Tamandua tetradactyla: one gene and its partners. The protein of the gene in region 1 interacts with the protein of each later gene in a pairwise test. Links are inferred from orthologs where the notes say so. Each region holds a gene or a part of one and is shown on either strand. Other genes may lie near its edges.

The links.
Region 2: the proteins of KRT40 (region 1) and WT1 interact in binary tests that used the Homo sapiens proteins (3 or more experiments, as listed by UniProt). The two-hybrid records come from large-scale screens. The link is inferred for Tamandua tetradactyla from reciprocal best matches to the Homo sapiens genes KRT40 and WT1.
Region 3: the proteins of KRT40 (region 1) and CCDC120 interact in binary tests that used the Homo sapiens proteins (3 or more experiments, as listed by UniProt). The link is inferred for Tamandua tetradactyla from reciprocal best matches to the Homo sapiens genes KRT40 and CCDC120.
Region 4: the proteins of KRT40 (region 1) and HDAC4 interact in binary tests that used the Homo sapiens proteins (3 or more experiments, as listed by UniProt). The two-hybrid records come from large-scale screens. The link is inferred for Tamandua tetradactyla from reciprocal best matches to the Homo sapiens genes KRT40 and HDAC4.

The regions. Positions count from the first base shown.
Region 1 is NC_135332.1:26,431,562-26,439,438, reverse strand, and holds the start of KRT40 (keratin, type I cytoskeletal 40), read right to left. Parts: upstream 3,008-7,877; coding exon 2,561-3,007; intron 1,866-2,560; coding exon 1,783-1,865; intron 1,530-1,782; coding exon 1,373-1,529; intron 575-1,372; coding exon 413-574; intron 334-412; coding exon 208-333; intron 1-207. UniProt on the Homo sapiens protein: May play a role in late hair differentiation.
Region 2 is NC_135334.1:108,436,763-108,444,133, forward strand, and holds the start of WT1 (Wilms tumor protein), read right to left. Parts: upstream 3,001-7,371; 5' UTR 2,743-3,000; coding exon 2,304-2,742; intron 1-2,303. UniProt on the Homo sapiens protein: Transcription factor that plays an important role in cellular development and cell survival. Recognizes and binds to the DNA sequence 5'-GCG(T/G)GGGCG-3'. Regulates the expression of numerous target genes, including EPO.
Region 3 is NC_135353.1:121,100,631-121,108,386, forward strand, and holds the start of CCDC120 (coiled-coil domain-containing protein 120), read right to left. Parts: upstream 3,010-7,756; 5' UTR 2,685-3,009; intron 1,357-2,684; exon of another isoform or gene 1-1,356. UniProt on the Homo sapiens protein: Centriolar protein required for centriole subdistal appendage assembly and microtubule anchoring in interphase cells. Together with CCDC68, cooperate with subdistal appendage components ODF2, NIN and CEP170 for hierarchical subdistal appendage assembly.
Region 4 is NC_135329.1:216,321,064-216,328,517, forward strand, and holds the start of HDAC4 (histone deacetylase 4), read right to left. Parts: upstream 3,003-7,454; 5' UTR 2,275-3,002; coding exon 2,088-2,274; intron 1-2,087. UniProt on the Homo sapiens protein: Responsible for the deacetylation of lysine residues on the N-terminal part of the core histones (H2A, H2B, H3 and H4).

The DNA of each region.
Region 1 (7,877 bases):
AAGCTGTTGACCTGTGACTTCTGCTAGCTGACAGCATGCTCAGGAAAGGCAAGGAAATGTAGACCCTGCAAACTGGAAATTCAGAACTTTTGCTATATGAATGTGAGTTTCTCCCTTGGGTTATGGAAGAGAGGACAGTATCTCCCTGGACTATCTCAGGGCCTGATTCATTTGTGACAAAACAGAAGCTGACTTTCCCTTGCGCACCAGATTCTCCTGGGCTTGGAGCTCAATCTCCAGAGAGCTTGCCGAGCGTTTCAGTTCCAGGATCTCCGTCTGGCAGCTCTGCAGCTGCTCTGCGCTGGACAGCTGCTGCTGATTCACCTCCTCCATCTGAAACACAGGGGTGATTAAAGAACACAAAGAAGGCAAGAGTCTGGAAGCCTGTCATTCTCCTGCTGCAGGTGCCCACCTGAGCAGCGAACCATTCTTCCACATCGCTGCGGTTGCTGGCGAGCACCACTTCATACTGACAGCGCATCTCATCCAGGGCCTTGCTGAGGTCAATGGCTGGGGCAGGTTCCAGCTCCACACTGAGTCGGTCACCAAGCTGTTCAGCAAGCAAGCTGACCTCCTGAAAGTGGAAATGGAGTCGAGAATGTCACCGCCTGATGGGGCGGGGGTGAGGAATCAGTTTGACAGAATTCTTTCCCAGTGGCAGCCCATTTCTGGTTTTTGGAGTTGTAGTTAAAATTGTGGGATTTAGTTTCAAATCGACTGGGTTGAATCTCTTCTCACCACTTAGAAGTCCCTTTTTATCTTCATCTGCAATATGGGTATAATAATTTTGTCTTTTCCAAAGTGTTAGTGTGAGATATGTGAGCGTTTACTATATATACAAAGAACTTATAAAAGCCCTGGCACATAGTAAGAGCTCAATAAATGTTAACTATTATTATCATCAGCAAATGTTCAGAGGTAAAATGTACTTTGTTGCATCAGTTTTTCATTTTCCAGCTTCATCAATAAGGGACAAATGCAGAACATTTGAAAATACCGATCCAAATATTGCATGAATCTTTATCCCCCTTTTTGAAATAGATTTCATTGCCTGTGTTCATCAACCTGATTTTTGTAGACTGGAGTTGGCATGAAGCCTCCAAGGAAAGCCATTTACAAAGTCATTTACTTCCTCCACAAAAAGCAATGGCAAGAGGAGAGTTTGGACCCTTCACATGGTACTGGCCAGGAGCTATTCCCTGTCCATATTCAGACACAAATTGGAATGATCAGGCTGAATAGCCATAGTGCCCTCAGGTAATTTTGTTCCAGCTTAAGCAACATCTACCCAAGTTCAACTTGAATACTTGAACATGAAATCTTAAACTTTGTTGTTCTCAGAGTCTTTCAGCCACCTTGCCAGTTTCCTCACCTCTTCGTGGTTTTTCTTAAGGCAAAGGAGATCATCCTTCAGGGACTCCACCTGCACCTCCAGGTCAGATTTGCACAGGGTCAGCTCGTCCAGGATCCTACGTAGGCCACCGATGTCTGTCTCTTCCAGCTGGTGAAGAGACAGTTCAGCCTCGTACCTTTCATAACAAAAGACGGACACATCCAATGCTTACTCTGCCAGGTGCTGTGCAAGCCCTGTGGGCGTACAGGTGAATGACACGTGAACTCAAGGGAGCCACATGCTGTCATTTACTTCATATCCCAAATAACTATAAATTACAGGTTTGTGAGCATTAGTAGCTTAAAAATATTTGTGCTAAATGTGTGTGTGTGTGAGAGAGGGAGAGACAGAGAAACCATAAATAATTTTCAAATTCAAATTAAACTTACTTTGACCTAAAGTCATCGGCAGCTAGTTTGCAGTTGTCAAGCTGTACGGCAAGTCTGGAATTCTCTGCCTTTGTGCACAAGATCTGGGAAGTAAGTTATTATGTAATAAATGATTATTTGCATGAAACTTAACCATTCATTTAAAATCAATGAAATTATGTATCTTTTAACAATCTGTTTAAGACAGTATAGCTTTCAATTAACTATTCATTTAAAATCAATGCAATTATGTATCTTTTAACAATCTCTTTAAGACAGCATAGCTTTCAATTTATTGCTTTTCTCTATATATGTTATTTTTCACAATAAAAATAATGTTAAAAAAAAGAAAGTATAGCTTTCAGCCTGCTTTTCTGATGAACTATGTCACTCACGACTATATACCCATCCATGGTAATAGAAATTTATCAGTAAGAGAAGAAAAAGGCTACCAGGTGAAATCGTTTGATTAAAAAGATGACAGTGAAGATTCTGTTTAAATATAAATATACAGTGTTAAATACAGAAGTAGTTTTAGACATACTACAGTTTTTTCTCATTTTATAGAAGATAACAGTTAAGCTTACAGCTAAGTGACTATATTATGGTCACTTAATTAATTAGTGGCAGTGCTGGGGCTAGTGCTGAGGTTTCCTGACTCTTTGCCCAGAGATCTTTCCACGTTAGCTCTTGGAATTTCCCTCTCCTTTGATTTCCTTTCATCAAACAGCCTCTTCTAGACTGAAGATGAAGCAAATCACTGGGAGGGCAGAGGAATTAGGGCAGCAAAACACCAAACCTTTTGCTGGAGATCTTCAATGGTGTTGAAGTAACGCTGATAATCAGGACACACCAGTGGGATTTCCTGGTCACACTGCTCTCGGATCCTGCCCTCCAGCTCTGCATTGGCCTCTTCCAGGCCGTGCACCTTCTCCAGATAGCTGGCGAGCCTGTCATTCAGGAACTGCATCGTCTCCTTCTCATTGCTATTGAAGACCCCATCCTCACACCAAGCACAGGTCCCCACCAAGCATGGACTGTTACGACTCCCAGCAAAGTAATATGGCTTGAAGCAATGGGTTGGCAGGTGAGACCTGGACTGGAAGCCAGGGGTCTCGCATCTGGAGGTGGAGTAGACCTTGGGGAGACAAGCTGTTTCCACGGAGCAGGTTGAAACAGATGGAAAATCAGAAGCCCTAGGACAGGGTTCAGTAGAGCAGCAAGTGGGGGCATGGTCAGAAGTCATCCTAGTAGAGATGAAGAACAGACAGTATTTGCAAAACCCAAGTGACCTGACTCCAGAAGTCTCCTTCCTTTCTGAGACTTTTATATGTCCCCCACAAAATGGGTATTTACAGGTCTCACCAGATGTTTTCTTTATCACTGTTTGTGCTAGTTTTCCTAAGAACATTTCATTAGTCTTGTTTATTTACTGAGGAAGAGTTTTATGCCTCATAAAAGAAGGTTAACTTCAGGTTACTAAATCAGAACTTATACTGTTTCCATGTGCTAGTAGGATAAAATACTTGGTTGCAGAAAATCTGCACAGGAGCACTATCCTTTTGACAGAATAAGGAAAGAAAGAAAATTTGGCCAATTTGTAACTGATTTAAATAAGGAAAATATTCCAATGGATTTTGATCATGTTCATTTAAAATTTGTTTCTCTCTTAAAATTAATATTGCAACTCATTAAATGCCATTTATTTGTTTGTGCCACCAATATTAAAATATTCATTGTGATTAGCCATTTTTGTAATGCTTTTTGCAATCTTGAATTGGCATACGTGCTTGCATGGTAGAGAAGTGAGGCATGCACTTGTGTGAAGTGTGTATGTGTACGTGTGTGTGTGTGTGTGTGTTAACCATATCGCTCTCTGTGAAAATTGAAAGATCACATTGCCTAATTGTTAGGCATAATTTGTGCCCTGTAGGCCAAAATATAAATTGATTATCTGGAACTGAAGTTATAAATCTTGATTTGTTGGAACTTGCCTTTTCTGTACATTCTATATGTCTCATTTTTTAGATCAGGGGAACTATTATTATTATTATTTTACCTTGGAAATACCTGTAGGTTACTTAGGCACTTCTGATAAGAGTGAAATATAAATTCTAAGTTACTATCTTTTAGGTGCTTGGGAAATCTTCAATGATTGCGCTTAGAATATGGGCAAGAAAGCTACAGGAAACGTTTCTTCTGATATGGAATCTGCTTTCTCTTATTTATTTTTTTCAAAGGCCTCAATTTAATGAAAATTAAAAATACTGGAACTTGGGAATAAAAATTTTATGTTGTCGGTTTCATGATGAATCCCTCGTGGATGGAGTCTCTAAGGGATAGGGACTTGAGATATAACTTTTTTTGATTCTCTTTTTAATCTCACCTCCACTTTGAAGCTTTATCTATCCCACTTTGCTTGGCTTTAACTGCGGTATTTCTTTCATTTTCAGAGGTAACACAGAGCAAATTGCCTCCAGAATCTTTGAGATCCTTACAAGAAAAAAGCCTTATAAGAAAAAAAAAATTCATAATCCAGGACAAATTCATTTTTTTCTAACTCTAAATCTTGCTTCCTAGATATCTGATGATGCAAAAACAAAAACAAAACAAAAACAGGAGACTGTGAATAATGGATTTAAATAGTCTGTTAGGACTTACTCTTCATCGAACAAAGTTGTATTTGATTTTAGTGATTCTCTTTACATTTCAACACCTATGCAAACATTCTTAGAGTACCTCATAATATTTTTTAGTGCAATTTTATTGAGATATATTTACACACTGTAGAAACCATCTGAAGTATTCAATCACTGGCTTACGATATAATCACATAGTTGGGCATACATCCCCATGATCAAATTTAGAACATTTTCATTACTACTAGAAAAGAAATAAAAATAAAAAAGAAAATTCTTATATACCTCATAATATTTTGATGCTGTTCTGAAAATGAGATGAGTTAAAAAATTCAAGACCTTATTAGAGCAGAAAAAGTTCTGGTCTGGATAATTCACAATCTGTGATCTGGATAATTCACAATCTGTGATGGTTGTGCATGTACTTAATGTCATGGAATTGTATACTTTAAAATGGTAGATGTTATGTTTATTTTGCCACAATACAAATGTAGGTGTTAATAAAGTTACATATATGAAACAAAAAACATGATCTGAAGAAAAATTACAAACCCATAGTACTCTGATGAGTCAGAAGAGAAATATCCTGGAAGAGAATCTAGGACTTGCTTGTCCATCAGTGTATCCAGTTAATTAAAATGCAGCAATGTGTCATTATTTTCAAGTCGCAGGTAAAGTAAGACATTTCCTTTTGTCTCAACGTAATTTCTATTTGCAAAATGTTGATTACTGTTATTGTATATAAACACCAAGAAGGGCTGTTTATTTTGGCTTTGATTAGTTAATGCAGTGTTGTGTGATGGCCTGTAGCTATCATTCTTAGCTTACAAGGAAATTGCCCAGAATTGTTTTTATAGTATATCATCCTCAGAGGAAGGGACATTGGGAATGGAGAAAAATAAATAGATGTCATGGCAAGTCATGATAAAAACACAATTATTTTGATTTGTAAAATGCTCTTACCCCAGAACATTCACCTACTGCTGCCTGAATATCTGAAATGCAAGTTTATTTTTGTGACTCTCCATTTATGATGTTGAAACTTCATATCATGGCGTATATAATCTTCCTCAAACTGGCTCATTTCTTGATACTCCTTCTCACTAACCCCAAACTCCAGCCACACCTCTATATTTTGCAGGTTTTTACTTTGACTAATACTCTTCCACCATTCCTGTCCTGGATGAACTCCTGCATCAGGATTCAGCTAAAGTGGCACCCAGCTGCCTCACATTGAGATAGGGCTCTAACCACAGCAATGTGTCCTTGCTTCCATTATAGCAGCTGTCACATTGCATTGCAATTTTAAAATTATTTCAATGTTTACTGGTCTTATTTGACAATGCCCCATTAAAACTTCATAGCCCCAGTGCATGGGGCCTAATAAAATAGGTTCTTAATAAATGTTTGCTAAAAATATATCCCCTGCTCTTAGTAGAAGTTATTGTCTTGGTACACGATTCCTGTGAAAATAATTTAACACTGAAGGCCAAGGAAAATTGGTGGAGGAGTCCTATCCTAAGGGTTCATAATCATTAGATTCTTATTCCAACATTGTTACTTATTAGCTATACAGTCTTTATCTAGTCACGAGACCCCACTGGGACTCAGTCTACTGTAAAATGAGAAAAATGTTACCTGTGCCATTTATTGCACAAACTTGTCAGGAAATGAACAATACGAATGTCTATCACTTTTTCAAAAGTAAAATATAATGCCAATGAAGGGTCTCCAATTGATGAATCTTACTCGCCAGTAATTCCATAATTGTGGGGACACGTTCTTTTTGTTCCTCCAACTTTTGGTTTTCTTGAGATCAATGTGCAGGTTTGACAGATTTATATACCCAGCCATCACACCAGAATGTGCCCTTATGCCCCTTTTCCACTCAGTTCCACCTCCTATAAGCAACCACTATTCTAATTCCTGTTAGCGTGGATGAGTATATCCTATTCATGAATTTTATGCGTGGAATCACATAGTGTGCATTCTTCTTTGTCTGGTTTCTTCTGCTTGACATTATGCTTTTAATTCATCCACATTGTCATTTGTATCAGTATTACTTCATCCTTTTTATTTTCTTAATCAGTGAGGAGTATTTCATTATATGGATATACCACAATTTGGTTATCCATTCTCCTCTGAATGAACATTTGAATTGCTTTTATTTGGGGACTCTTATGAATAAAATTGCTATAGATATTCTGATCCAAATCTTTTAGTGGATATATGTTTTTGCTTCTCTTGGGTAAGTAACATTAGAGTAGAATTGCTGAGTCATAGTGTAAGTGCATGGTCTCTCTCATAAGAAACAGCCTGGACTTTTTTCCCAAAGCGGTTATATATTCTCACAATAATGTGTGAGAGATCTAGTTGTTCCATATCCTCACCAACATTTGGTGTTGTGAAATTTTATACATTTTATACACTTTAGTGGGTGTGAAATGTTATTTCATTGTGGTTTAATTTATATTTCCTTGATAACTAATGATGGGGAGCATCTTTTCATGTGCTTATTGGCCATTTGGATATTTTCTTTTGTGAAGCAACTATTCAAGCTGGTTCTTTATTTAAAAAAAATCTTTTTACCACTGATTTGTAGGAATTCATTTTATATTCTGGGTACCTGGCCTCTGTCAGCTATATGAATTGCAAATATTTTTTCCCTGCCAGTCACTTGCCTTTTTATTTTTGTAATGATGCCTTTTGATGCACATGAACTTTTAATCTTTTTTTTTTTTTCAATTTTTTTTTTTCATGGGCAGGCACCAGGAATCGAACCCGGGTCCTCTGGCATGGCAGGCGAGCATTCTTGCCTGCTGAGCCACCGTGGCCCACCCTGAGCTTTTAATCTTGATAAACTCCTGTTTGTAATATCTCCTGGTTAGGGCTTTTTGTGCCCTCTCTAAGAAATATTTGTGTACTCCGAGGTGACTTCTAAGCTTATAGACTGCTATCCTAAATTTTTACTACAGAAATGTGTAATCTTAAGTTTTACATTTAGGACTAGGAACCATTTTCATTAATATTCCTGTGTGTGTATGATATGAGATGAGGTCGAGGCTCATTTATTTCACTCCTTTATCCTGCTGCTCCAGCCCCATTTGTTGAAAAGACTTTCTGCCTTCATGGATTGGAGAGACACATTCATTGAAACTCAACAACTGTGCATGTGTTTGTCTGTTTCCGGGCTTACTATTCTCTTCTAATCCTGTTTGTCTATCCTTTGCCATTATCATTTGTCTTAGTTAACCTAGATTTACGACCTTGATATCAGGAAGTGAGAACCCTCAACTTTCTTTTCTTTTTTCAAGATTGTTTTAGCCCTTTGCACTTCCATAGAATTTTAGACTTAGTTGGTCAATGTCTACAAAAAAAAACCCTGCTGAAATTTTGATTATGACCACATGAATATATTTTGAGGATGATTGCTATCTAAATAACAGAGCCTTCCAGAAAATGAGCATGGACTATCTC
Region 2 (7,371 bases), on another chromosome or scaffold:
GTTTGGCCTGGCCATATATTCCTGGGGGAGCCGAAGGAACCCCAGAAATCAAAAGAATAAACCCGGAATTCAGGGACCTCGAGAGCCTGTCCTGGTTGCCCATGTTGGGGCTGCAGCGGCTTCTTACATCCCACACCCCAGCTCAACTGAGTGAACTCCAAGGGCTGGGCATATTCAACCCATTAATGTTACTATTGTGGGAGAAAGCCAAGACCAGAGGCCACAGCTCGCCTCTCAACTACTGCCCGTGTTTGGGGTAGTAGGTTCCCCTTTGGCCTTTCCCTGGGGTAGGAGTTCGTCCACACCTCCTTTCTGGCTCTCTTGCCCCCAACTTTCTTTTTCTCTGGGGCAACTTGGTCTGTTTACTGAAGAAGAATTGGCATTTTTCCCTCAGTGTAGTCCTGGCTGGCTGCAACACCTACAGCCTGGCATAGGTGTCCGGACCCCGAGCACCAGACATGTCTGCCCTGCAGAACGTTGGACTCAAAGCCAAGCCACCAAGCCCAGGTTCCATAAGCCCCTGCCCAATCTAGATGGACTCAAATCAAAGATAATGATGCAGTAGATTTTGGGCCCCAGGAACATAAATGGCTTCTTAGGCCTCTCTAACCAGCAGGCAACCACATACTGGCCAGTTGCACTATTTCTGGCCCAGTCATGTTTAGGTGGGCTGGCGAGTTCAGTATTTAGAACCCAGAACCCTTGATAAGTTGCATTTCCGCTTCTCCAATGCAGAATTTCAGGCTGGACCGACCTCCAGGTCGCCCATCTCGGCCCTCCTCTTACAGCTCCGCAAACTGGGACCTGGAGAAATCGCCAAACGAAACACCAGCCTGCCAATTAGAAGTGACACGATCCGAAAACAGGAGCCTCCAGACCATGCAGCATTCTGCGATCAATGGGCACTAAGCTGTTCCAATTCCCTTAAGTACAAAACACTTTATTTCTGAAGGCCCAAGAGTTAAGAACTCCTTGGCTAGGCCCCAGGTTCTTGCCGGGTGGAAAAGGGGAGGATGGTTTCGGTTTCGCCTGGGCCTCGGTCGGCCAGGTGCACAGAGCCCTTCTTCCGAGCCCGGGCGCCCCAGCACCTCTTGCAAACCATACATACTCCGTCCCAACCAGCCCAGGCGTTCCAGAAAAATCTTAGTTCCTAGGCCCGTGAGAAGTTTTGCTTCAGGAAAAGTTCCCCATCACTGTGTTAGCAAAACATTTCCTAAGACAGCAAGTCAAACCGAATTGGCTTAAAAGATCTCAACGAAATTCAATTAAAATAAATTTAGGGACCAAACTATAGGGGCTTGAGATTCCGGAACCGCTTGGTTCCGCTCTGGCCGCCAGAAAGGAGAGAAGTGCAGGCGCCAGAGTGATAGGAGAAAACAATGGTTCATGTCTCTCGTTGTACTTTTCCTGAACACCGCAAATAAACCTGTCCTTGTCTACTCCCAGACCCTGCAAAATTCTTTCCCCTGAGCCCCGCGTGTAAGCCAGGAGGGGATTTCCAAGCCGCGCTGAAAGGCAGGCCCATGTTCAGGCTTCATACCACTGCTTCGGGTAGAACCCGGCCCCCTATATAGCACAGAATCGGATAAACTGTTTTTTTCCCATCCCAGGAGACTGCCCCCACGCGCGCCTGGGCAGGAATTCAGGAGAGCCCCAGTTCTACACTTCCATATCCTGGAACCGTAAGTGGACTCGGACACAGTTTCAGGAAAATCACTATTTAGTTGCTAGCCCGTTCATTTACTTACCCTCCCCCCCCAACTTGGTACTTGTGTTCCTACTGTGTGCAATATCATATTGCGCTGTAAAGTCTGGACATCCCAGCGTAGCGTAGGCAGCTCATGCTGTAGGAGACCCACTCCGAAACCCCCGTCTGGACGTCTACGATGCCCAGTGCCTAGTGACAATTTGGTGGTTCCCTGGACAACAAAATCCTCTTCCCGAGGCAGAGCTTGAGACTGCAACGGTTCCCCCTTCCCCACTCCCGAAGGAACTCGAAATCCGGGAGTCTCATGGAGCTTTAGGGGCGAGGACCTCCCGGCTCATGCGAACAGTCCGATTCCCGCCCTTCCCGGAGGTGGAAGGCGTCGGGAGGTGGAAAGCGTCGGAAGCCGATGCCGGCGTATGGTCCCTTCTCAGGGCATCGCCTCGTCTTCCCGGCCGCTGCTTCCTAGACCTTGGCCGGACAGCCGAGTAAAAGCTAAGATCAGGGAGAGAAGAGGCACGAGAAAGAAGAGCCTGCACTCCGTGAGAGCCCCGGCGCCACCGCCCCGCGTGTAGGGGGCGCTCCCCGGGCTACTTACCCTGGTTGCGAATAGCGGGCTGGCTCTCGAGGCAGCTGGGCAGGTAGGGCGCGTTGGGGAACATCCTGCCCTGCCCGGACGACGCCTGGCTGGGCGGAGGAGGACCGAAGGGTCCGTAGCGACAGGCTCCGGCTGTGCCGGTGAATTGGCCGGAGAAATGGACGGTGAAGGCGCTCAAGCACTGCTCCTCGTGCGGCTCCGCGCCGCCCCAGGTCGGCTCCTGTTTGATGAAGGAGTGAGGCGGCGGCGGCGGCGGCGGAGGAGCCGGCGGCGGCGCGGGACCGCCCAGCGAACCGTAAGCCGAGGCGCCCGGGGGCGCGAAGTCCAGCACCGGCGCCCACTGCGCGGCGCCGCTCACAGGCAGGGCGCAGCCGCCGCCGGTACCCAGCGAAGGGACCGCTGGCAGCAACGCATTCAGGTCCCGCACGTCGGAGCCCATTTGCTGCGGCTCAGTCCCGGGCGCCCCGCGGCTCCTCCGGTCCTGCCCACGCTCTGTGCTCGACGCGGCCGCGGTGAACTTGGCCCAGATGCCGCAGCCCGAGCCGCGTGTCCCCGGCTGCTCCAGCTGCTGAAGGCACCCGGATCCCGAGCGCGTGCCGGGATGCGGGCTCCGGGGCACACGTGGAAGCCGGCTCCCGCGGCGGGAGGAAGTCCAGGATCGCGGAGAGGAGCAGCGGGGCCTGGCCGCTGGGACTGGCGTCCCGGCTCTGAAAGGTGGGTGGGAGGGAGGGCGGGAAGGGAAAAGGGGGGAGCAGACAGTCGGGTTGCGGAGAGCCCCCGGGTGTGGGTGCTGCCTTGAACTCCTTACCCCAGCTGCCTGGCTGCCCCCAGCTTCCCAAAGCTCAAATAAGAGGGGCCGGCGGCGGCGGAGGAGGAGCCAGGAGTCTCCGCCGCTCCATTCACACCGCAGCCCCAGCCGGGCTAGGCAGCGCGCGCCGCTCCTTGGGGGGGGGGGGGCGCCCTCGCAGCGGGGGTTGGAGGCGGGCCTGAGGGGCCGTCTCTCTCAGAGGCACCCTCCTCTCCTTCCACCCGCCACACGCACTCAGCTAGCTTGTGGGGTGCATCCCCCCCGCCCCCTCTTTAAGATTTCGCGAGTGTGGATGCCTCGAGGCACTGGTGAGTCCCTCCAGGTGAGAGTTCGTGTCCACTTTGCACTCAAGTGCGAAGGGGTGGGGATGGGGGTGTTAACCTGAGAGGGCGGGCTGGAGGGAGGGGCAGGTAGCCTCGGCTAGGGCGGGAACTTGGGTTAAGCACAGAAAACTTGCCTGGACTTATAAATCGCAGATGCCCTTTCTCTGCGCCTAGGAATCCGGTTCCTGCTTCCAGAGCCGACAGGCTAGAGTGGTGGCCATAATTTGGGGGTCATGGGGTGCGGAGGTTGGGGGGGTTGGTATAGGCCCTTTGTGGATTCCGGAGGCCCGGGATTCGAGACGAACGTGCCCCAGATTGGTGGCCTCGAGAAGTTGCATCTGTTGTAATAAGCCAGGCATGGTAGTTGGTAGTTGTCTGGTAACTGGCTACCTGATGAGGTTTGTACCTAGAGGAAGGGGGTTCCTACCTATCTAAAAATCCGTGTCAGCCACGTTAATCGCCCTTCCTAGTGCAGAGTATCTGATTCTTCCACGGTGAAGCTCGGGAGAAACAGTGGCTAGTTTGGGGGGCGAGGGGGTAAGAATACCCTTGGGGAAAGGCCCGGAGCCTGCCGGAGCATCCTAGCACCCTGTCGGAGGTGGAGATGGAGAGAGAGGGGCTCCTGGCGCCGCTCGTGCCAAGCTCTGCCTTGCTCCCCGGCGGGGGTACCACCCTCGGCGCGCAGCGGTCCGCGGGGAAGCGCAGCCCAGAAAGGCGGCTGGAGGAGCCGGGTAGGGAGCGCGTCCTTCGGCCCACGCCGCGAGGCAGTGTCGGCTGGGAGCTCCCCGAGTGGACCCCAGCCAAATCCTCTCCTCTCTCCGCCTGGCTCCGCGCCCCACAGGATCTATCGAGGATAAGGCGGAAGGCCCATAGATGAGGAGAAGCGCCGGGACTCCCGAGTGATGTGCATTTCAGGGGCGCGGGAAACGCCCAGCGGCGCCTGGTGGCCCAAAGGGCTCAAACTGGGACGGCAAGGCGCCCAGGGCGGGAGGCGGCGGGTTGCCCTGGGTCCTGGGCACCGGGCGAGCCGGGGATGAGGCCCGCAGCTTTCCAGCCAGGGTCCCGTGAAGCATCAAGGTAGATGCAGTTTCACGAAGACACTACGCGTTGATAAAGCTTTACTTACTCTCCATTTCGTAAGCTTTGGTTTTAATTTGCACTCGCTAAACGCAGTCGCTGTGAGTTCCGGCTGCGGGCACCCAGCGTGTGCGGGTTTAGGACGTCCGCGCTGTCCGCAATTCCCAACTTTTGGGATCGCCTGTCAGGAGACCCTGAGGGCAAAGATTGGGAGCATGCGCTGCCCGCTGCTCCCTCAGCCACCTTCGCGGTCGTGGACACCTCCCTGCGCTACTTACGGTGCTTGACTTTGCCACATCTCCACGCAGAAACATTATTATTATTTAAAGAAATGGAAGAGGCTCTTGATTCAGGTTTCTTTTTCTTTCCCCTGCACTCTATGGAGAGAGTCGACTGCTCTCCTGCACGCCCCATCCCTGAACCTGTTGCAGAGCTCTAGGGCTGGGCAGAGGGCAAGTGCGTTTGGTCTTTGTGATGGAAAAAGACCCCCGGAGAGAACTTGTCTCAGGCAAGTAGCCCTAGAGCGCCCCAGCCCCCACCTCTCTTCTATTTCTACTTGGAACTCGTTTTTCTTAACTAGGACTCAGGCGCTACGAAGCAAAGGGGTTCCTTTCCGAAAAGCCAGAGATTTCCATTTCTAAACGAAAAGAATGAAATTCTTTTTTTAGCAGTCTTTTGCAAGTTTTGTCTTGGGGGAGGATATTTGGAGGGACTGGTTGAAATGTGAGTCTTTGTGGTTTGGGATCCCACGAAGGACAAATGCGCTTACATCTCTGCTTTTAAGTTAAAAAATAAAAAAAAAAAAGGTTTGCCCGGGGAAGCGGGTGCGGAGGTGGGAGGAAAGGGCAGACCGACAAATTTGAGACTCGCTCACTGCTCCACCACTGGTTTCCTGAAATGCCCTGTGGTGGGTTAGCATAGTGGTGCGATTCCCATTACAACCCCCTGGTGCCCCCTCTCCGAGTCTTGCGGTGCAGAGCGGTGAGAGGAGTTCCCTCCAACTGACCCGGCAGAGAGGTAAGTGCTGCAAATCAGACACCCCGCCGTTGAGGGCCCCGGGACCTGTACCGAGACCTCTGAGGCATCCCCCCCCAACACACACATATACACACACATTGCGCTCTGGCACGGTGTCCTGGATGGCACCCGCAGACCCCCGTGTCTCAAGGGCCCCATACCCCCTTCCCCTCCTCTCCTCCCTCTCCTGGCTACGTACTCTGCGGGAGCCGAATGGTTACCCAGGCCGACGCACCGGCCACCCTGTTCTCGGCACCCCGAGTTGGGCCAAGAGGCCCAGAGCCTCAGCAGGAGGAGGCCGCATCCTCGGCGGGCCCCGGCCGGCAGGCGCTCTCCTGCTCCTCCTGCAGTTCGAGGCCGGCCCAAGGTCTCAGGGAAATGAAGGCTGCAGAGAGCTGGTGGCTCCCCTCTTTCACCCCCCTTCCCACATCGTCAGCGCCGAGACTCATGGCCAAAGGAATACCAGTCTAAATCACCAAAAGTCAGACCTAGAGATTCAGCTCCCTTTCTACAGAGAAAGAAACGAGGCCCCGGCAGGGGAGGAAAGGCGAACTGCGGGGCGCAGTGGTTACGAACAAGGAATTGGGGGCCAGAAAATGAAATCTCGGCTCCGCCACTTTAACAAGGGCTGTGAACCTACTTTAACAAGGGCTGTGAACCTAGACGAGTTCCTTAGCCTTTCAGAGACTCGGTTTCCTTATGGGTCAGACGAGCTCATGGGACCCTAGTGAGGATTAGATAGGAGTTGAGGATTAGATAAGAGAATGGTGTTGGCCTGAGAGCTGAAAAAACTTTGCAATTTTTGTTAGCATATAATACAAGGATACATGGCAGTTTATGGAAGAACCGAGCTGAAACTCGGGTCTCCCTCGAGGCTTTGCCACGACCCCTTTGCCTCTCTAGGGTGGGGGTAAAGAAAGGAGTGAGGAGGAAAGGAAAGATGCTGGAAACCTGTGCGGCTTTGGTACAAGAGTAAAGCGCATCCCCGCCTGGAAGGTGCATGTAATTATCGCAAGATCAAAAAATCGCGGCTGGGGGGAAGCGGCACTGAGGTCTCTCGACCCCCGGGACCGGTTTTTTCAACCGGCACCGACAGCGGAGCGCGGAGTTGGGCCGCAGGGGCCCCAGGGACCAGCGCGCACGCCGGGGCCGCGCTCCAGCGTCACCCTGAGGCCACAGACATCTGAATAAACACGCTGAAGCGCTGCGATCTGTCAAGGGCCAGGGCTCTGGGCCGCAGAGGCCCTTGATCAGGAGTGGCCCGACCTCTCGACAGCCCGCCTCCCGGGAGGAACAGGCGCTCCGCTAGGTCCTCGCCCGAGGACCTGCGCCCGGATCCCAACGCCCAGAACAAACGGCCGGACATCTGCGGCTCCTTCCCCACCAATTTCAGCTCTTAGAATCTGCCCACCTCGGGCCACCCAGCAGGCGCTTAGGATGGTTACCAGCCACGAGCTTCACTGTAGAATTCCCAGTTTTTTGTTTTCTCTTTCTTTAAATTAAAAATTTAATAAAAAGAGCAAGGTAGGGATCTTTTGTCCTAGCCCACTCCCGTCTTCCTCAGCTTGTTTGACAATGAACTCGATCTTTTATATATACATATATTTATATATATGACCAACCCCTCCATCTGCGGTTGGAGTTCTGTTCTCTGACTCGTTTTGGGGTCCCGGGAACCGCCGTGCACTGGAGGGAACGCCGCGCAAATTCCCCCTTTTCTCCCCCAGCGCGCCGTGCCTGGAGCCGCCCGGGTTACCGGTCGGTTCTGATGCCAACGCAAGCCGGATCCCCGAGCTCCCGGAGTCCTCAGTGAAAGGATTCCGCAGCGCTGCCTCTCTAATTA
Region 3 (7,756 bases), on another chromosome or scaffold:
TATGTAGAACTTAGGAACCAAACAGATACATCCAGATACGATTTTTGAGACAGAACTAGTATCCCTCAGCTCAATAAATGTGAAACAGAGCTGTTTTCCCTCAGATAATTTGTCCCAATTCTCACTAACCAAAATCAGAAACTGAATGGATTCAGATACAGTCTTGGGACAAAGCTAGTATCCCTTAGCCTCCAAACCCTCCATATTTGCTACCCAGACACAGAACCCTTCCTACTGGCCAAGCCAGATACATTTGAAACAGCCGATTTCTCTCATTATCTGACCTCTCCCTATTAAATTATCGAAAAAGCAGCAATTGAATATGTTCAGACAACTTGTTTGCTCTGAACTCTCACTACCCCAAGTCAGGAGCGAATGGATTTACATATATTTTGGAGAAAGAGCTGTTATCCCTCACTCCCTGAACCTTCCTTACTCACCAGGCAAAAGGCAGCAATGAAATATATTTACACAACACGGTACTTCTCACTCTTCAACTCTTGTCACCGGAATTCAGGAAAGTGAATAGATTTGAATATACTTTTGAGTTAGAGCCTCATTATCTGAGCTCTCTCTACTCACCAGGTAAAATGAGGAAACTCAAATACTTTAGACAACATGGCATCATTCATGTCTGAACTATCAGAACTCTCCCTCTCAGAATTCAGGTACCAAATAGTCTGGGAGAGTGAGGGATGCTTGTGTTGTTATTATTAATGGGTTTAGATAAATGAGCTGGGTCTGGTATCCCTCACTTTTCAAACTCTCGCCACTTTCTATGAGAAACACAGAAAAAAAACATAATTGAATAAGACATTCCCCCCAAATTCTCCCTACCCATCCTCAGAATTCAGAAGATTCAGACAGTGACGGATCCTATTGTTGCTGCTGTTGTATTGTTCCTTCTGCATCAGCCTGATTCTAACATCCAGTGAACTCCCGGCCCCACCGTCCCAGACCTGCCCCACAGAGGTGGGGTGGACTTAGCATGAAGATTTTTGTTGTTTACTGCCAAGAGAGGGGGATAAATTCCTGCCCTAATCCTACCCACTCCAAGCCTGGAAGCCTGTAACTTAAAATGGACTTTTTTTTTTTCAGGCCAGTAAGGCAGGGATCGCACACACACCTAGAATCAAGACCAAGGGCTTGAGCAGTTACACGACCAGGAAGACACACATAACCCCAGGTTCATCTTTTACCAACCCCCTCTGACGTGGGGCAGTCCCCAACTTAGCAAGCCTGGAAACATAACCTGGACCGTGCAGACTCCCAGAGAGCCACTGAATAATTTAGGGTGTTCTTTTGCACTTGGGGAGGGCAGGGGGCGTAAGAACAGTTCCATGCCCTCCTGGAACAGAGAGAAAAATGCAAGCTCTGTGTGAGATCACTGGGGTGGGGGTGGGGGTGGGGGTGGGAGGAATCACATACAAAAAACCCTATCAGCCACACTGGCCCTACAAGGCTGTTTGTTTCAGGGAGCTGTGGGTCATGGGGGAGGCAGGGAGAGAATGCCATTCCCCCTCTTGCTAAGAGAAGCATCTGGGATATACCTCAGAGGTCCTAGGAACCGAGGAATCCCCAAGTTCAGGGGCAGGGTATAATGGGATCCCTGCCCTTCTGGGTTCAGAGGGTATGGGAAGGAGGGAGCAGGGTGGAGGGGCATAGTAAGGGGTAGATAATAGGGTCCGGGGTTGTGACAGGATATAGGGACAGGACAGGAAGGTGTGTAGGGGACAAGGCAGAATCAGAGTCATCATAGGACAGAGGTCAGGAGGCAGGCCTGGGAATGAGAAGGACACTGGCCAGGGGATAGGATAGAATGAAGTTCAGGACAGGGGTAAGAGAAAAATCACAAGGGGAGAAAACACCAGGACAGGGCTCCAGGTCTGTGTACAACCTTAGTCAGAAGACTTGATGCGGGACAGGTGAAGACAGTGGTCATAGAAGGGGCTAGGGAAAGGGGCAGGTTCAGGACGGAGGTCAAGAACAGGAAAAGACCAGGGCAGAATGAGGAAAGGAGTAAAGATGGTGATGAAACAAGAGAGGACTGGGAAAATCAGGACAGGATTGGGGGAAGGGACTGACAGGACAGGAGACATTCCAAAGGTGGTAAACCAGCTATTAGGGGAGGGGCCAGGGGGACGGTACAGGGTGGGGAGAAAGCACAGAAGTCAGAGGTCAGGAGTCAGGATACAGCAGAAGCAGACTGAGGTCAGGGGGGTAGAACATGCCCAGAGGGGGTTAGAGACCTGGACAGGGGGTTAGGGAAGAGACAACAGAAACTGAGGTGGATGTTGGGCATCAGGACAAGGCCAGACGAGCTTCAGAGATGAGACAGGGTCACACAAAGACCCGGGTTCAGGCCCAGGATCCCAAGGACAGAACTGGGGTTTGGGGTCAGTGCTAGAGGGTTAAGGGGGAAAAAAAAAAAAAAAAAACAGGTACAAATGATCAAAGCAGGCCAGAACATGGTTAGGTCAGCGATCAGGGCTGGGGTTCTGGGGCCAAGGGTGGCCGAGTTCGAGGTTAGGAAAAGAAATAGCCAGGTCAGGGCATGGGTCAGGAGTGAGGCCACCAGGTCAGAGGTCGCGGGGTGCGCGCCCAGGTACGTCCACCGTCGGTATTTCCAGGCCCTCACCCCGCCCTGTCCCTCCCCTGCCGCCCGGGACCGGGTTATGACTCACCGAGCGTCCTCGCACCGCGACGTCAGCGGGGTCGTGTCAGCCGGGAGGGGTAGTGGGTGCGCCCTTCCCTCGCCGAGCTCCGATCTTACCCGGGCGCGCGCCTATTCCCCTTCCGCGCCCTGCCCGTGGACCGCGTGCCGCCGCGAGACCGTTAGGCGTGGGGGCCAGACGGGGGACGCGAGAAGGGTGGGAGAGAGGCGCCAGACTCCGCGCTGCGGGTGGGGAAGCCCCGCTTGCCACCCTTCAGTTAAGTCTGTGGGCTTCGGCGGCACCACCGCCTCAGCCGCTGAGCGCGAGCCCCGGGAAGAAGGGGGAGGGGGCGGGGCGCAAGACCACAGCCGCGATGGGGCCCAAGTGCGCAAGCGCGAGCTCCGGACTTCAATTTTCCTGCCCTGGGAGCGCCCAGAGCGAACGAGCTGGAAGCGCGTGCGCACGCGCCTTCTCGAGGGCAGCCGCGCCAGCTAAGGAACAGGGCCTAACAGTGCGCGCCCCTGGAGCGCTCTCGTTCCCGGCCCGGGTCCCGCCCCCACCGAGGCCACGCCCCCTCAATGCCCAAACTGGGGCCCCTAACCCCAGGTCACCCTGCCCTCAAACAGCCCCTATAACAGACTTCTAAAACGCTCCCAACTACCCACCATGTCATCCCCAAATGCACCCCCAAACCACCCTCCAGTGACCGCCAAGCTATGCCCAAACCACACTATATTGACCCCAAGCTATATCCCTAAATTGTCCTCCATGGACATCAACATTGCACCCGAATTAATTATCAATGAATCCCCAAACCACACTCCATCAACCCCCAAATCACTACCCATTTGCCTCTGAATTTCAGCCTCAAACCACCATTCATTGCCCCCCCCCCCATTGACCCGCAAGCAGTACCTCCAATCTACCCTCCATGGACATCCAAGCTTCACCCATAAACTACCCTCACTACCTAAGTTGTTCCCCCAAACCATGCTCCATCAACCCTGAAATCATCCAACATTAACCTCCAACAGTAGTTCCAAACTACCCCCATCTATCCCCAATATATGCACCCAAAAACATGCTTCATTATCCCCAAAACCACCTCCCATGTACTCTCCAAACTACCATCCATTGCTCCCCAAGTCACTCACCAAGAGTCCCCAACATCACCCCAAACACTCAACTATCTGCAGTGTGGCCCTCACCTGCCATTCAAATCACTATCCAACAGTAACCTATGATACCTCCAAACCATGCTCCGTGGACCCCCAAACCACCCTCCATTGACCTCTCTTAATTACCTTCCAACAGCCCCCATTACTATCTCAAATACTCCCAACTACTCTTAGGTGTGATCCCAACTGCACTTCAAACCAGCCTCCAACACTCCCTGCACCTCCAAACCACAGTCCACAGACTTAAACTTCACTCCAAACCACTCTCCAACAGTCCCCAATTATACGTCCAAATAGCTATCAACAACGTTGCTGTAGTTATCCAATGAACCCCCAAATCATACTCCAGTGGCCCCAAATGTGTCCCCCAAACCCTCCAATGATTTTTTTAAAATATTTTTATTGAGAAATCTTCACACACATGCACTCCATTCATGCTGTACAATCAATGGCTCACGATGTCATTCATAGTTATGTATTCATCACCATGATCATTTTTTAGAACATTTGCATTACTCCAGAAAAAGAAGAGAGAAAAAACTCATACACACTATATCCCTTACCTCTCCCTCTCATTGACCACTAGTATTTTCATCTACCCAATTTATTTTACCCTTTGTCCCCCTATTATTTATTTATTTATTATCCATATTTTTTTTACTCATCTCTCCATACCCTGGATAAAAGGAGCATCAGACACAAGGTTTTCACAATCCCACCATCACATTGTAAAAGATATATCTTTATGTACAATCACTGCAAGCTAGGGTCTATAGTCAATAAAAACATTGTAATATGCTTCCACTCAATGTAATGAAGACATTATGCCAAAACTAAATGTCAACGGGGGGGGGGGTATGGATTTTTTGTGGAAGAAAAGGAAATGTCTTCATGTAGATTATGGTGGCAAAGGTATGTCTGTACACTTAGGTTGGATTGCATGATGTGTGAATAAAACTGTTTAAAAATGAACAGAGAGAAATAAGTGCTAGAGAAAATGTGGTGAAAGAGATGTACCTATTCACTGTTGGTAGAGAAACTAGAGGTGCAGCCTCTTGGAGGGCAGTGTGGTGGTTCCATAGGAGGCTAGGGGTGAGTTTCCATATGATCCTGCAACCCCGTTACTCAGTATATACCTGGAGAAACTGAGAGTGGGGACACAAATGGGCATTTGCACACTGGTGTTTATGGCAGCAGTGTTCCAGATCCACAATGAATGCAGGTGGCTAGAGGGTAGAACGACTGAGGAATGGAAGGGGGAACTATGGCGTATACATACAACAGACTACTGAGCAGTGGCAAGAAGGAATGAAGTTGTTAGGCATGCAACTAGGTAAATGAACCTTAAGGACTGTATGTTGAATGAAATATCAGAAACAAAAAAACAAATATTGTCAAGCCTCATTCATATGGACTAACTATAATGTAAAAACTTGGTGAACTGAAGTCGGGAGCATGGGTTATCAGGTTGGGGCCTATTGTAAAGGATCCTACATTGTAAGCTCTTACAGCAGTCACATATATTCATGAGTTGTAACTGTTAATTTTAAATTCTGAGATACTGAGCTGTTTGTTTATGACCTGGTCATTTCCAGAAATTTCAGGTATTTATGTGACAGCTGAGACTAAGAGTTAGAGCTCTGAAGCTATGAAAGTCAGCATTACCCCATATAGGAACTGTTTAAAAAATTGAAAAAATGATTAGACATCAAGTAGAGATATGAATGAAACTGATCTGGATAGGACTAAGGAATATTAGAAGACTGGGTAAAGGACGATATCATCCAGATTTAAAAATTTCAACTCCCTGAGTGAGACTGAAGTGAGAAATGATGATTTGGTGCAAAATTTATATTTTGGGTGTGCATTTCCTAATTTAACTTGCATGGTCAGTTTAGTTGAACACCATAAGTACATGGAATCTTGAATAAGGCATGAGATTGTGTTGGCTTGTCCAGATTAGTGTGATGTCCTGATAAATACCAAAGTGATTTGGACAGTTAATAAAGAAGTATTTGCTAAGCCCCCTTGGGGGAATGGGGAGAAAGGGGGAAATATTCACGTTCCCCATTTGGAGAATTTCTGATATTCTCGCAAGCAGTGGGGACAACCAAATCAATAGGCCAAGCCCTCAATCTTGGGGTTCGCCCCTATGAAACTTATCCCTGCTAAGGAAAGGCTAAGCCTACTTAAGATTAGGTCTAACAGTCACGCAGAGAACCTCTTTTGTTGCCCAGATGTGGCCTCTCTCTCTAAGTTGACATGGCAAGCTAACTCACTGCCCTTACCCACTATATGGGACATGACTCCCAGGGGTATAAATCTCCCTGGCCATGTGGGACAGAAATCCCGGGATGAGACAGGACCCAGCATCACGGGTTGATAAAACCTTCTTGACCAAAAGAGGGAAGAGAAAAGTGAGAAAAAATAAAGTCTCAGTGGCTGAGAGATTTCACGCAGTTAAGAGGTTATCCTGGAGATTATTCTTAGGCATTATATAGATATCCCTTTTTAGTTTATGGTGTACTGGAGTGGCTAGAGGAAAGTACCTGAAACTGTAGAGCTATGTTCTAGTAGCCATGTTTCTTGAAGATGATTATATAACAACATAGCTTTTACAATGTGACTGATTGTGAAAATCTTGTGTCTGATGCTCCTTTTATCTACAGTATGGACAGATGAGTAAAAAATGTGGATAAAAAATAAACAAATAATAGGAGGAACAAAGGTTAAAATAAATTGGTTAGATGCAAATATCAGTGGTCAATGACAGGGATGGAACGTATGAGGGTTTTTTCTCTTTTTCTGGAGTGATGCAAATGTTCAAAAAATGATCATGGTGATGAATACACAACTGTGTGATGATAATGTGAGCTATTGATCGTACACCATTCATAGAATGTTCGTATGTCAAGAATGTTTGTATGTTTGTTTGTTGTGTACAATAAAAATATTTTTTTAAAGAAGAATCAAGGCTACTGGAACACAGCTCTAGAGTTTCAGGTGCTTCCCTCTAGCTACTCCAATACACCATAAATTTAAAAGGGGATATCTATATAATGTATAAAAATGGCCTGTAGGAGACTCAGCATCAAGGGACTGAGAAAAACCCTAGAATGAGCTGAGAATTAACATCAAGGGATTGAGAGAACCTTCTCGACCAAAGGGGGAAGAGTGAAATAATACTAAATGTCAGTGGCTGAGAGATTCCAAACAGAGTCGAGAGGTTATCCTGGAGGTTATTCTTATGCATTAAGTAGATATCACCTTGTTGTTCAAGATGTAGTGGAGAGGCTGGAGAGAACTGCCTGAAAAGGTAGAGCTGTGTTCCAGTAGCCATGTTTCTTGATGATGATTGAACAGTGATATAGCTTTCACAATGAGACTCTGTGAATGTGAAAACCTTGTGTCTGATGCTCCTTTTAGCTACTATATCAGCAGAAGAGTAGAACATATGAAATAAAAATAAATAATAGGGGGAACAAATGTTAAAATAAATTTAGTTTGAAATGTTAGTGTTAAATGAAAGCGAGGGGTAAGGGGTATGGTATGTATAATCTTTTTTTCTCTATTGTTTTATTTCTTTTTCTGTTGTCTTTTTATTTCTTTTTCTAAATCGATGCGAATGTTCTAAGAAATGATGAATATGCAACTATGTGATGATATTAAGAATTACTGATTGTATATGTAGAATGGATTGATATCTTAATGTTTTGTTTGTTCATTTTTTTTTAATCAATAAGAAAAAAATAGCCTGCAGGATAACCTCTCAAATCCAAACTCTCTCAGCCACTAAAACTTTATTTTGTCTCATTTCTCTCTTCCCATTTTGGTTAAGAAGGCTTTCTCAATCCCTTGACGCCAGGTCCTGGTTCATCCCAGGATTTTTGTCCCACGTTGCCAGGGAGATTTACACTGCTGGAA
Region 4 (7,454 bases), on another chromosome or scaffold:
CGGGCAGCTCCAGTGAAGGTCTTCAACAAGCTCCTTAGGAGAGTCTGGCTGGCTCAAGCGGAAAGAGATTCTCTCTCTGAATTCTCTTCTAAAGACTTCAGGTGATTAGATTAATTGTCACTCGTTGCAGAAGACACTCCCCTTAGCCAACTACAGATGTACCAGCCATGGATGCAACCAACTTGCTCGTGGTTCAAGTCCATGAACGTCCTCCCAACCACAGACAGGCCAATGCTTGCTTGACCGAACAACAGGGTACCATCACCTGACCGAGACGGCACATGAACCTAATCATCACGATGAATAAACGGTTTTCCGTATAGGACCCTGCTTTAGTCTGCAAGCTGCCAGAACGCAATATACCAGAAATGGAACAGTTTTGTAAATGGGGAATTTAATAAGTTACAAGTTTATAGTTCTAAGGCCATGAAATAATCCAAATTAAGTCAAGGGAGAGTATCCAAATTAAGGCATCCAGGGAAAGATACCCTGGTTTAAGAAGGCTGATGATATTTCAAGTTTCTCTTTCAACTGGAAAGGCACATGGTGATGCCTGCTAGCTTTCTCTCCTGGCTTCTCCAACAGCTTCCCGGGAGCATTTTCTTTCCTCATATCCAACAGTCTCTGGCTGTGTGGGCTCTGTTGGTTCTGGCGGCTCTAAAGCTTTCTTCCAAAATGGTTCCCTCTTAAAGGGCTCCAGTAAGCAACCCCACCTTGAATAGGTGGAGACACATCTCCATGGAAACCATCTAATCAAAAGTTACCACCCACAATTGGGTGGGTCACATCTCCATGGAAACAGTCAAAAAAGACCCCACCCAGCATTACTGAATGAAGATTGAAGGACAAGGCTTTTCTGCAGTACACAACAGATTCAAATGGCACAGTCCCTTAGATTTAAATCAACAGCCATGGAAAGCAAAAGTCATTATCAGCCAAGAAATAAAGATATCTGTAAATAATCACGCATTTTCCTTACTGCTAGGACCCAACCTGCAAGTTTGTGAAAACTTTAAATTGTACCTACCACTTTTATTTTCCTGCAGGCATCCTAATTCCTGAACTAAAACATCTGATTTGCCAAGCCCTCCAGCAACAAAATGCCCGGCTGGGTTCAAGCCTTGACCTGGCCAGGTGCAGACGACAGCAGGAGGGGACTGTGTCCTGGAGCCCTCGGGCTGGTTTCTACCCACTTCCAGCTACCTCAGGAATTACACTCTCAGCCTCAATGTTCCCACCTGTTAAGTGACACTGGAGGCAGAAACGAGAAATAAACTAAAAATGTAGCTAAGGGATGGGGCACGAAGCCCAGGAGGCTGTCTGTGCCTCCACTGCACCTGCCCTCCAGGAGCACGTATGCACATATGCTGTGCCAGGGCGCCTGAGCAGGGCAAACGCTCCTGCCAGAAAAGTGAGTCAGCATCTAAAGCCACCTAGAGACAAGCCACCCCCAATTCACCTTCCACACTGCTGAGTATAAAAATTAGCTCGAAGGTGTTTGTGGTGAAGCAACAGGAAGCTGGAAAATAGTGCATATTAAGCAGCTCATGAGAAATGAGTCGCAAAATCTTAACAAAAAAACAAGAATGGACATTTGGAAAGAGCTTGCATGTGGCTGTAGGGCTTTCAGGCCAACAGCGAGATGGAAAGAAACTGAGCCACAGACCCCTTCCTTCCGAGTCCTCCACCCACACCCACTTTAAGGTGCCCGTACCCTTGGCACAGGAAAAGGACTTGTTGCCCTCCCAGCCACAACACAACGCTTCAGAAGTGACCGATCTGGCCGACTGCCAAGCAAAGGGGAGAGAGTGCGAGGCGGTAGCAGTCCAGCCCCCAGCAACCCCCAGCAACGTGCTCCCCATGCTGGGCTCCACACCCCCCACCCCACGCAGGAGCAGTCCACAAAGTACTCTGTGGTCTCGGGGCCCTACCCAGCAAGGTCTGCTCAGAGCAGACACTAATGGCCACCAGCAGCCCCCACAGGGAAAGAGAGGTTCTTTCCTTAGGATGATATTTGCTTGAATTCACTGTATCTTTCCAAGTGATTGTTCTTCCTGGAAATCGGTAAACTAAAGAAAAATGCTTACATTCTAATAACCCTAACTGCCCAGAGACCTCCTCTGGGCGAGGCACAGTCAGCAGTCCCTTGTCCTCGCATCGGCACGGTACAGGAAAATGACCGTCCCCACGTCGACACCGCAGAAATGAACAAGGACAAGGAGCGACTCCATGAAGGTCAGACCAGCAGGTCCTCAGGGCCAGACACACACCCATCCTGGGCAGGGCCGCAGTCCTTCAAAGGATTTATCAATCTCTCTAGCTGAGCTGGTAAATTAAAAACACAAAAGCACATTAAATATTATATGGCACACACGCCATTCAGAAATCTTGTGGAAAAAACTGACATAAAGTATATACAAGCAATGAACGTATATTTAATTCAACTCCCTGCTACTTCCCACTGGCTGCAGCTCGCCCACACCATCAGCTGAATACCCTCCCCAGGCGCACGGCCGGGGGACGGGCCGCACGTCTGGAGGGCAGGGCGGCGGCTGCCACTGTCCTTGTTCACTGGGCGTCAGGACGCCACCCCCAGCACTGTCGCACGGCGGAGCTGGGGAGAGACACAGTTCCTTCCCACAGGTTTCCTTCTTATCACGCACAGATGTCTTCCAGGTAAATAAAATGCCATTTTATTTCGTTTAAACTCATTTACTCAATACGCATTATCAGGACCCGAGTAGGATCCCCTTAGGGTTGAGAACCCAGGAGGACAGAGGCCAGGCCCGCGGAGGGCACACACAGGGGCACGGCGGCCTCGCACCTGCATTCAAACTCCAGAGATGACCACCCAGACTCGGCATCCCCACCGGAACCAGTCCGGGCCAATCTCCTGCACAAACGTCTCCAGAAACTAGTGTCATGAGGTGGTCCAGAGGTCCCCCCATCACCCTCAGTAGGCTGCAGGGTCCCTTGCCTTTCCCATCCCGCTAGGGAGAGACACCAGACTCACCGTCCCAAGACCACAGCTGGGAGACACCAGCTAACTCCTAGCGGCTCCTCCTCACCCAGCCCGCTGCCCACGGCCAGGGCGACACTCTCCTGCACCCTACCCCCACTTCATGGCCCTGCTCTCACCTACAGACACCCTAGTGCAGGCTCCTGCAAGGTAGAAATGTGCATGCGAGGTATCTGCATCATTACCATGTATCGCAAGAATGCCACAGCACACCCTCCTCCCGCCAACAGAACCAACTCCCCTGGGTCCTCTGAATAGCTGGTGCACAATCTGTAGAAATCACTCTTGTGTATTTGTTTTATACAATATGGATATACTGTACAAATCACAACTCCCCCAAATCAAGATGAACTAAACCTTACCACTGTTTCTTTTATGATCGCTGTTATACACCACAAACCTGAATGTCTAAAAATACAGCGATTACCCTGTGGAGTGTTCTATTTTCATCTTCTAAAAATGGAGCTACCGACAGCAGAAGCAATCTGCTGTTAGATGTCAACCACGCTTCACGCCATTGGCAGGATGTGCATGTCTGCCCTTCTAGACTGTTCAGCTGTGGTCTCGCCACGATGGAGCCCGAGGCACCTGGAGAGGCAGCACCGAGGCTCTGCCGGGGGCCAGGGGGCCTGGGAGCCAGGTGCCCTCTAGAGGCCCCTCTACGTCCCCAAATGACCTAATGCAGCAGGGGCCTCATTTCCCACATCTCTAGGACAGGGGGGCTCCTACTGCCCCCCTCTCGGGGCAGAGTTCCAACGGGCCCCCATGGAGGCCCCTGGCTGACGCTGGGCACGCAGCAGGGGCTGACAAGCTGCATCGCCGGGCGCCACGGGAGGCAAAGCTCTGCCACGCAGTGTCTGAGTGTGCAGCACGGCCAGCTTGGCTGCCAGAGAAGCATCTCCCAGATCTGAGAGGGACATGAAAGCGGGAGAGCAGCAGCACGGAGGAAAGAGCAGAGCAGCGAAGAAGCTTCCACCCCAGAGTGCGGATGACGGCGTATCCTGCTGAATCTCCTTGCCAAAGACAGATGGGGCTGCGTCCATCCTTCTCCAGAGGACTGGGTCTTGTCTTAATGCCAATCTAGAAAGCAGCAGACTATACCCAAAGACCCATACATTAAAAATATGGTTTTCTGAAACAGCTTTCTCTAATTTTTGCAAGTCTCCTCACTATGAGAACAGAAATATCAAAAATTGTAGACTGAAATCCCTAGCTCATCTAAACCATGCTCTACTTTTTGTAATGGAGTTAATTTTTGATTCTCAGTGTAGAAGTAACAGAGCCACCTCTCCCCCGACCGGCTCGCACGCGCCCTCACGATCCAGCTCGACCTCAAGGGGCACACCACCAGGCAATGCTCCCTCCCCCAGGACCCGCGACACAGCGCCCTGGGCCCTGGGCACCCAGCCGGCTGTGCTCCTGCACCCCACTTCCCCAGGTCGCCTCCTGCACACAGGCCCCGCAGAGAGGAGCTGCAGCGCCACAAAAGGGGCTTCCAACGCACAGGTCACCCACTTCCTGGACAGCACTGATCTCGCGGCATGGCTTCCTCCTCTCATAAGCTACTGCAATCCTTCAGCAGCTCGGAACAGATTCGTTTCCTATAATTCCATCCACAACCAAGACGCTAAAACATGTACCACTACAAAGGATTGCCAATAACACGCAAAATCAACGGGCAAGGGGAAACTGTAGAAATCACACCAAAACAGAACAGAGACGCAGCTTTCTTCACCTGAAACCAATCCACAGGGCTGTCCACCTCTGGACGGATGGCACCTGCGACGTGGGACCCACAGGCCCTCTGTGGCCAAGGCGGGCGCTGTGCTGTGGCGGCTCACACTTAAGTGTCCACAACAGAAAGGAGAGCAAGCTTTTTTTTTTTTTTACTGCTTGAAAAAACATCTAGAAAGATTCACTACTCAAATTATTTGGCAAGTGTGTTATCTTTAGTTTTGCTTTCACTTTTTTATAATGCAGTTTTATTGAGATACATCATATATTCAGATGCCATATAATCACCCACACTGTACAATCAGTGGCTCACAGTATCATCGTATAGGTCGACTGCTGAATAGACTTTCACTTTTTAAAAAATTTTTATTAATAAAACCAATCAACACACAATATGAACATTCTTTTTTTATCACATAGTTGCACATTCATCATCATGATCATCTCTTAGAACATTTGCATCAATTCAGAAATAAATATAAAAAGAAAACAGAAAAAAAATTTATACATACCATACCCCTTGCCCCTCCCTTTCACTGATCATTAGCATTTCAATTTACTAAATTTATTTTAACATCTGTTCCCCCATTATTTATTTATTTTTAATCCATATGTTTTACTCATAAGGTAAATAAAAGAAGCATCAGACATAAGGTTTTCACAATCACACATTGCGAAAGCTGTATCATTATACAATCACCTTCAAGAAACATGGCTGCTCTACATTTTCAGGCAGTTCAAAGGGCAAGCTTTGAGCTCAACTGCAACTACAAGGAAAGAGGAGAGGGAGCACATCGGTGTCAGATGCGTGCTCCTCATACGGACAGTCTGAACTAAGAGGCACCTGCAGCCCAAGATCCAGTTTCATACATTAGAAGACACACATCCTACTGATGGCCAAACACCAAGTTAAGCAGTAGACAGAGCTAATTAGAACCTCAGGTTCCTGAAATCTGCTCAATGCCCCACACCTCCCACTCCAAGAATACAGAAATTATGATTAGAATACAGAATATAATCCCCACACCTCACTTTCCACACAGAGTTCAGCTCAAAAGAAAGAGAAGATTCTGGTTACCAATGGGTGCTCTAAGCAAGTTTGCTGAAGTCCAGCTGCCTATCTGGGATAGAGGCTTCAGAACAGAGGGCTGAAAGGACCTTACTGGGTAGCAGATGTTGCCTTGGGCACGCCATGGGCAGAGAGCTGAAACTGAGGACGATGCATCAGGACAGAGCTCTCCAAGGGCCATCCAATCTAGGAAAGGGGGACTGGAAACCCACCTGTTAGGCCAAGAAGGAGCTGTGAAGAACCTGCTGTGAGAAGCAGACTCCCCTACGACCATGCCTTTATGGAAGGAGCCTCCAAATTCATGTCCTATTCATGCAATCTCAGGTCTAGAAATTAAGAAATAAGACTAGGCCAGAACTTGGGAAACCTGGGGTCCACAGGAAAACAAAACAAAAAGGTTCTACAATCCAGGGCATCAATAATTCCAGGGCACATGAGACACCCAAAGAAGGAGGGAAAAAAGGGGAAAAGAGAAAACTTCCTCTTGAAGACAAATTTACAATAAAAATCTAAAATTACAAATGACACACAGTAACGAGGAGAGAATCAGCAAGCACAACAAAACAGAGAAAGGACTCCACAATATCCACAGAGAACAAAACAATATGGAAAAAACTAATACATGCATGTTTTTAAAAAGCAAGAAGTTATATGAAGGAAAAGCCTATAATGTAAGAAAGAAACCATGGAAAAAGAAATGGACTTTTTTTTTTTAATAACGAATTTTCTAAAATTGAAAAGTAGAGCCACTGGGCGGCCCACACAAGCTCAGCAGGCCATGGCAGAGACCTGGGTTCGATTCCCAGTGCCTACCCATGCAAAAATAAAAAAACATAGAGCCACTGAAAATAGCTGATTGGGCATAGCTAGAGACAGAACACTGAATTGGTAGATAGATCTGAATCACCAGAATACATTATAAAAAGGTAAGGAGGGCGGGCCATGGTGGCTCAGTGGCAAGATTTCACTTGCATGCCAGAGTGCCAGAGACCTGAGTTCGATTCCCAGGGCCTGCCCATGTAAAAAAAAAAAAAAAAAAAAAGGGTAAGGAGAAAAGCAGCTTGAGTAAAACAGTGTGATGGCCCAACAAATACCGAGCATGAACTCAAGGAGTAAAGAATGGAAATCATGGAAAAGAAGTACTATTCAAAGAGATAATGAATCAAGAATATTCCATAATTCCAGAAAGATAAGAGTTAGGTTTAAAAAGCATGCTACTGTATGGGCACTTGCTTTCTTATCTCTTCGTTACCTAGAAGTAGAACATTTAGATCACATGGGAGGTGTGCGTCTAACTTTTTAAGAAACTGATGAATGGTTTTCCAACGCAACTGTATCATTTTACAGTCTCGCCCACTGTACATGAAAGCTCCAGTTCTTTCACATCTTTGCCAACAATTGGTACAATTTTTTTTCCATTTTAGCCATTTCCTCAAGCCTAGGGTTTATATTCTCCTAAAAGTATTGATCCAAAAGCAGAGGCTTTAACTTTAAGCTCAACTTTTCACTTTGTCGTTTTATACACCAGGCATTTGTTAATGTATCTAAAAAAATCTTTGCCTAACATAGGAATAAATATTTGTGACCCTATTTCATTCTAGAAGATTCATACTTTAAAGTTTTACAGTTAGG